Cricetulus griseus: one gene and its partner. The protein of the gene in region 1 binds, or shares a complex with, the protein of each later gene. Links are inferred from orthologs where the notes say so. Each region holds a gene or a part of one and is shown on either strand. Other genes may lie near its edges.

Evidence for each region. The genes of interacting proteins can lie anywhere in the genome.
Region 2: Mta3 (region 1) and Cdk2ap1 share a complex: the UniProt entries of both Homo sapiens proteins name them as parts of the nucleosome remodeling and deacetylase (NuRD) repressor complex. The link is inferred for Cricetulus griseus from reciprocal best matches to the Homo sapiens genes MTA3 and CDK2AP1.

Annotation. Positions count from the first base shown.
Region 1 is NC_048598.1:85,391,873-85,395,497, reverse strand, and holds part of Mta3 (metastasis-associated protein MTA3), read right to left. Parts: intron 849-3,625; coding exon 660-848; intron 1-659. UniProt on the Homo sapiens protein: Acts as a component of the histone deacetylase NuRD complex which participates in the remodeling of chromatin.
Region 2 is NC_048597.1:104,074,150-104,078,311, forward strand, and holds the start of Cdk2ap1 (cyclin-dependent kinase 2-associated protein 1), read right to left. Parts: upstream 2,845-4,162; 5' UTR 2,751-2,844; coding exon 2,474-2,750; intron 1-2,473. UniProt on the Homo sapiens protein: Inhibitor of cyclin-dependent kinase CDK2. Also acts as a component of the histone deacetylase NuRD complex which participates in the remodeling of chromatin.

The DNA.
Region 1 (3,625 bases):
GTAAAGCAGACCGAGAACAGAGAGTACACACAGACGGTATTTAGCACAAATGCTCAGAATTGTTCATATCTCTGCTTGGAAATCAGAGTGCTGCAGAGGGTAAACTCATGCAACCAAGGTGTGTTCCAGCCGCTCAGGACGCCTCACCCAAGGTCATATTCACAGTACAAAGCAAATGTCAATTGCTTCCTTTATAAGTGGCCCTTCATTTTATGTTAAGCAAATAAAGTTACTGTCAGGGCTGAAGGTGTGGTTCAAGGACAGAACACATTCTCAAGGCACTGGCTTCGATCCCTGGCACTGCAGTGGCATCTTGCCTTGCCAGTGAACTTGTAGTGGTGGCCGCACCTTTTGGGTGTGGTTTCAGGTGCAGATGTGATCCATTAAGGTAGAGGAGGGGCTGGCTCACACTCTCTTTGGGTTTCGGAGAACATCAGAAGGGCAGAGACGGCATCTTCTGGAGCAGGAAGACCTCGGCGGTTATTTACTCTTATCTGTGTAAGTACTTCCCTAATAAATACCTATTTATCATTTATCTTGGGTATGGTGCACTCATTTAAACCACGCCTTCAAGTGGTGCCCAATTGAAGGCATAGGCATCAGTAGACAGATAAAACAACATTCCTGTCCCAACAGTTCACTCATGATTTTCCACTTACAAAGTCCTGACGGATGTCATTGAAGTCTTTGCCATATTTTTCCAGTGCTTCTTCAAATAAGCTGGCTTCAGAGGCCGACCACTCCTCCATCTCATCTCTGCACAGGACTGGCCCTCCAAGTGGCACCAGGACACTTATGGCACTGCTCAGGTCATAGCCGTGCCTGTACAGCGTATCCATGGCATGGAACTGGAGAGAAGACACACAGGAAAGAAAGGTCAAGTGGCCTCGTATACCTGCAAGCCAGCGAAAACCGGAACACTGAATGCAGGATATGCATAATTAACGGTATCTTTAGTATTTCCTTTTAAATAGCAAAATCAAACAGCCAATCACCATCAAATGATTGCTTTAGGAGAATACTATCTGGTAAGAGAATGCTAAGGTGTTTTAAAAATAATCCATTTGGAATAGCAACAACTATGAAGATTCAAATGCTCAAAATATTCAATTAAGAACACAATCAATTTTACCTCAAGATTTCATTTACTTAAAAATACCCAAGCCACTTCAGTTACTGTGGAATAATCTCCACTGACCAAGGAAAAACATAATATGTGTGAGAGAGAAAAAGTATTGTATTAAAAGCATTGGTTCAAGTAAGAGAATAATGCACTATTAATAAGAGCAAGAGATGAAAAGAAAAAACAGAATAGAGCATCATATTAAAGCAAAACTATATATTTGGGCCAACGAGATGGCTCAGCAAGTAAATGTGCTTGCTGCCAAGGCTGACAACCTGAGTTCAATTCCCCTACCCACATGGTAGAAGGAGAGAATGGATTCCCAAAAGTTGTCCTCTTGGCTCCACGTGCACTCCATGGCACACATATACTCACATACACACAAGTTCACACAAAATAAATAAGTAAAAAGAATACATTTCATATTAAACACAAAACAAGCAACATTGCAAATCCGAGTTCACATGTAACTTGATTGAGACTTTGGGAAGACCAAGAACAGATGATCAGGCATGCTTAGAGCAGCCAGGCCAGTGAAGGTTTCTGTAGACCCTAAGGAAGGGTGATTTGAAAGGGGGCAGAGATTAGGACATATGAGCAGGAGGGTGTGGTAGTGTTTTCCCGGCAGGCACCAAGTGCTGGGCTTGATTCCCAGATCCCAACCCTGACCAGCAGCAGATAAAAAACTTTTGTAAGTTTATCTAGAGAAGAGTCCTTTATCTGTGTGCACGACGTTTATGCATACCAAGAAAACTTCGGAGTAGAACAGTCAGTCTGTCCATCCGTCCATCTGTCCCCGTCCCATCCCCACCCCCTACCCTCGCCCACACACACACACAGAGGCTGGCAAGGTGACCCTACTTCTGTGTCTGTCCCCACCACACACACAGGCTTCAGAGGACATGAATGCCAAGGCTTGCATCTTTTACACCATCACATGTGTCAATCATCTAAAACATCACAAATGGGCATGACGTGGTGGAGCACACATTTAATCCCAGCACTTGGGAGCCACAGGCAAGCTATCTTTGAATTCCAGCCAGCCAGGGCTACACAGTGAGAGCCTGTCTCCCAATAAACCAAATAAAAAAATAAAAAAAAAGCATTAATTAGCCATGTAGTGGTGATGCACACCTTTAATCACAGCACTTGGGAGGGAGTGGAGGTGGTTCTATGAGTTCAAGGCTAGCGTGATCTACACAGAAAGTTCTAGGACAGCCAAAGCTACATAGAGAAGCTCTGTCTCAAAACAAACAACAACAATTAATTAAAATATATATTTACAGCTGGATATGGTAGTACATGTCTATAATCTTAGTATACTCAGGAGTGAGGCAGGAGGATTACATATTTGAAGCCAGCCAGTGAAATCCTACAAGGGTGAATTTACACTGGGAGACATTAACCAACATGGGTGATTATGGACACAGAAACTGTGTTGACAAAGCCAAAGGCGTCGGCAACTAGTACAGATCTGTTTAGTAACTGGTTGAACAAGGTTTTTGGCATTAGCTTTAAAACCAATCTCTGGATTTCACAAAACAAAAGTCGAAATGTCATTACCAGTTTCCCTTGACAGTCACAGTTTGGGCCGATGTTTGAGGTGGTCATTTATTGCAGGCATCGGTGGTGGGGCAGCATTCTCTGACAGAAGCCCTCTTTGCCACACCACAGTTTCAGGATGCTGGCCCTGCTCTTGCCTCCTGCTCACACCCTGCCAAGTGATGAATCTGATTCTCTAACTACCCTCACCAAATAGACCCTGTGATTTAACTGTTTCTTTTATCTTCACATCTGAGCCCTCTTTCTGACTATCTCATAATGAAAACAGAAAGAAAGATCAATAGTATTTAGGGATCCTTTCAACTAAGGATAGGGCCATAGACTGTTACTTTGATGTCCTAAATTGACAACAGGTAATACAATAAAACAACAACAAAAACCTAAAAGACTAGGTAGTATTCAAAAGCCAAATCCACCATTTGGGATGCGGAGGCAGGAGGATAAGGAAGTCAGTGTTGTCCTTGAATATATTAAGCCTGTCTCAAAAAACCAAAAACAACAAAGTCAATAATTACACAAGGGCTCGAGCATAATTCAGTGCCAGATTTGCTTGATGTTTGATCCTCAACTCCCCCTCTAAAAAGTTAACTGTGATGCTGAAACAACTGACCTGAGCAAGTGGGAGCTCATGGACACCAGTCTGACAACTGGAGAACTATCATAGGACCAAACCAGGCCCCCTGATTGTGGGTGTCAGTTAGGAGGCCTGGGCAGTTTATGGGGCTTCTGGTAGTAGAGATTATATATATTTCTGGTTTTTCGAGACAGGGTTTCTCTGTATTGTTTTGGAGCCTGTCCTGGAACTTGCTCTATAGACCAGGCTGGCCTCGAACTCACAGAGATCCGCCTGCCTCTGCCTCCCAAGTGCTGGGATTAAAGGCGTGCGCCACCAATGCCCGGCCTGTGGATCAGTATTTATTCATAGTGTAGGAATAGACT
Region 2 (4,162 bases), on another chromosome or scaffold:
ATCCTTGAAGCACCAGGGGCACCTCGTGTGCTTCCCACGCTTTTTGCTATTTCTCACCTCCCTGACACATCTTCTCTCCTGGACTTGGGGGTCTGTCCCAGCAGTGCCACTCCACTCCTGGCTGTGGGAGCTCTGTCAAGGCCCTTGTGGGCCTCTGTTTCTCCATCTTTGAGAAACTTCCCAATAGTTGAGTTATCCCACATTTTAATGACTTTGGGGATGGGATTAGGGGGCTGGGGGTGTAGAGGAGGAATGAGAAACACCACAACATGGGTGGAGGATCTCAGAGCTTGCTTTCCCACCACCCTGGAGGAGTGGAGATGTGCCTGACTGATTATGTCAAAGCCAGGCCCATATTCAGTGTTGGGGAAGATATCAGCCCGCCCCCCCTCCGCACCCCTGAAGTCGTGGTGGAAGGGTCTTCCGCACCACTCAAGCCCTCTCCTTCCCTAAGATATTGGCACCTGGGCTGAGGGAGGCCAGGGAGGCAGCTCCACGTCAGCACAGCCGGTGTGGAGCATCTCAGACAATGAGCGCAGTGTGCAGAGAGCCGGGAGGGCTTGGCAGAGGCCAGGAAGCTCCTGGGGCCAGGCGCAGCTCCCCGCCCCCACGCCAGACAAAGAGCGGCCTGGGCCTGGGGAGCTGGCGGCCTTCCCGCCACTTGGGGCGCCTGGGGGGGGCTCTCGGGCGGGGGAGGCGGGGGCTTTGTCTAACTCCGCCACTGCCACCGCCGGCCAGGCCGCAGCTTGGCAACTCAGTGAGCAGGAGGCAGGGCTGGAGGGCGTGAGGGATGATGACAGGGAAGGCGGAGGAGCCACTGTGAGAGTCCATCTTGGATGCAGATGGCAGGGGAGAGCAGGGCTTTCTGCAAAGTAATACTGGCAAGCGGGCGGGCGGGCCCCACCAAAATGCCGGACACCTTAAGACCCCGCTCCGCCTCTGGCATTCGTCATTAGAAAAAGAACTTGAGCTGAATACAGGTGCTAGCAAGCCCAGAACAGGGCTTCAGAGTCCCAGGGGCTGCCTGCCACTGTGACCCACAACCCCAAAAGGTCCCAATTTTTGACCCTGGGGCAACTACCCCAGATCAAGCCTGTCTCTGGCTTCCCACAGCCTGACAACGCAACCCACTAACCTTCCATCCCAGGCACTGACCAAGAAGGCTGGGAGACAAAAATCCTACCTGCCAACAAAGCCTGTCACCCAAAGGGGGTGGCACCATCTGGGGTGATACAGTGGCTGCATGCTTTGGGGGGCTCTGTGCCCACGTGTTTCAACTCTCCCAAGCTGGCACCGTAAATCCCAAAGAGCAGCCAGTGTCCAAGAAGTTTAAAAACACATGTCCAGGGCTTTTCGAGGTCCTCTAGAGGATTTTTGGAGTTCTAGAATCAACATTTCAACACAAGACCACCCCCAAGTTGTAAGTGCCGACATGGGTAGTATGTTTGACACAGCGACCATAACCAACTCGGACCCCAACTCCCACAGAAGGCCTTAGCTCTCCTGGCACCCCGTTATCTCGCGTCTGTTTCAGGGGGTGGTCTGTTCACAGCCAAATGTCTAGGGGGTTACTAGAGGGGACACAAGACCGGTGACCTATGAGCGCCACGGTTTCACACCCCTCGCCCCGGTTCCCTCGGGGTTCGGGACTAGCCCCTGCACAGCCGAAAGCTGTCTAGGAACTTTGCAGGAGTTTCCCGGAGGCGCCAGCCCCAGCGGGGAAGGGAGACCGGGTCCCCCGGGCTTCTGCAGAGCGGCCCTTGGGGCGCGTACCCACGTGGGGACTCCGAGATGGAGACCCGCGGGACCCAGCACGCCGCCCGCAGTGCCCACGAGGCCCGGACACTCCAACTTCTTTCCAGGGACCTCCCGAGGGCGTGGGGGATGGGGAGCCAGGAGCCGCTCCCACCCCCAGGCTGCGGTCCCCTGCCCACCCGCCGCCCGCGACCCGGGCCAGGCTCCCTCCTGGGGCCCGCGGCCACGCGGCCCGGCCCTGGCCTGTCCCGCTCCACCGACCCTCGGCGCCCCGCGCCTCGCTCCCCGCGCAGCCGGCCGCTCCCGCCTCCCGCCGGCAGGGGCCCCTCGCCGAGCCGCCCAAAAATCCTAAGGAAAGAAAAAAAAAGGGGGGGCTGAGGAAAAAAGCCTTCTTCGCCCCGCCGGCCGGCCGCCCGAGTTCCTTGCTTCCCCCGCCATCCGTGGCCGCTCGCACCCGGGCCCGAGCGCGCAGCCCCGCCGAGCTCCGGCGCACCGCGAAACTTTGCGGCACGGGCGGCGGGAATCATGGGCGGCGCGGCGGCTGAGGCGGCGCGCCGCGCTGCCCCGGCCCGCGGACATCCCCAACCACCACCGCCACCCGCGGGCAGCTCGCCGGCCTTCAGGCGCCGCGCGACTCGGGGAGCCCCGGGCCGAGGCCGGCAGCGCGAGCCCCCAACTTGGCGGCACTTTGCGCGCGCGCGCGGCCGCGCCCACTCACCGGCGTTGAGGGCGGCGGCGGGGCATTGTGCGCGGGTCAAGTTCGGCTTGTACGACATCCCCGCGGGCGGCCGGGCGCGCCCGGGCAGAGCCGGGCCAGGCGCGAGCGCGGCGGCGGCGGCGACGGCGAGGCCGAGGCCCGGGCCGGGCGGCCCCACGTCCCCGCGCCCGTCCGAGCGCCCACCGGGCGCCCGCGCACTTTTTGTTGTCGCCGGCTCGGGCCGCGCCGGCAAATATGGCCGTCCCTCACCCTGCCGCCGCCGCAGTATATCACCCATACATCGGGCGCGCGGCGCAGGGGCGGCCGCAAACTTTGAGCCCAGCCGGTGCTGGGCCCGGCCCCGAACCGGGAGGGGGCGGCGGGCGTCGAGGGGGCGGCCTCCCCGCGGCCGCGCCCCGCGCAGCGCGCCGCCCGCAACTTGCCAAAGTTTGGGGGGCTGCGGTCCCCGCGGCGCCCCCGCGGCGCCCCAGCCTCCCGCGCGCCGCTCATTGGCCCGCTCCTTCCTCTTTCTTAAACAGCCAGGCTGGATGGAAGAAGTACTTTTTTTTCCTGTGTCTCTTGACTGTGGGGGCAGGGATGGAAAATTACCTGGAGAAAATGGTGGCGATTGGGTTTTCGGGTTTTTTTTTTTTTTGGTGGTTTGTCTTATTTTTTTTATTTATTTATTTTTACTTGGACGTAGATCATTCCAGATGTCCATGTCTGGCTCTGTCCCAGAATTAGAATAACCCGTTCTTGACATTTATTTCGAAAAAAAAAAAAATGTCATGTCTCTGCCTGGATTAAGTGGGCTTTTTTTTTTTTTTTTTAACCCTTTGGGAACCCAAGATTCCTTTGAGACTGACAAAAGCTGGATGAAGAGACGCCTCCTCCTCCAGCAAATTCGCCCTCGCAGCATCCACAGCATTTGGCACAGGAACTCTTTGGGATTTTTCAAGGGAGCACCTACTGTGTGTCAGACACGGCTCTAGACGCTAAGGATTCAAGAATGAACTTGGCAAAGTTTCGACTCCCCGGAGTTTACACTCCATGTTTTAGACACCCCCCCTTCCCCACCCCACCCCATACACACTCCCACCCATCCTAGGAACTGACTGAAACGTCATCACCAAACGTATTTGGGATTTGATGAATAACCTTCCGAAGGTACTATATTTTGGAGTTCTGCCTGAATAGTAATGCTCATCAAATTACATAAAACGCCCACCCTTTTCTGTTGTTTTTAATCGCCATGGTTTGCAGGTTGGTTGGGCTTTTTTGATGTTTGTTTGTTTGTTTTTAATTAGTCATATTTAGACATGATCTGTGAATCTGTTGACAACGGCGTCAGCTTCTCTGCTAGACAAAAAAAAGGCACCACCACCGGGGTCTTACTCTCCCTTTCCCTTTGGGACTAAAGGTGCAGGGGAGGGGACCGCCTCTTCCCCTCCCACCCCCGCTCCACCAACACCCCTGCTAGCATCCTTAGAATTGCTCTGTCAAAGGCTTCTTGGTGACATTTTATCTTATAAAGAAATGAATGCAACCCATTCTACAATGGCTGATATAAGACGATATATATATATATATTATAAAATAATATATATAAAATATATATATTTTAAACGTTTTAGTAGTCAATTTTTGAAAGCAGAACATGGCATAAAATTAATTCCAATAATGTATTTAAACGACCGGATCCACAACAGG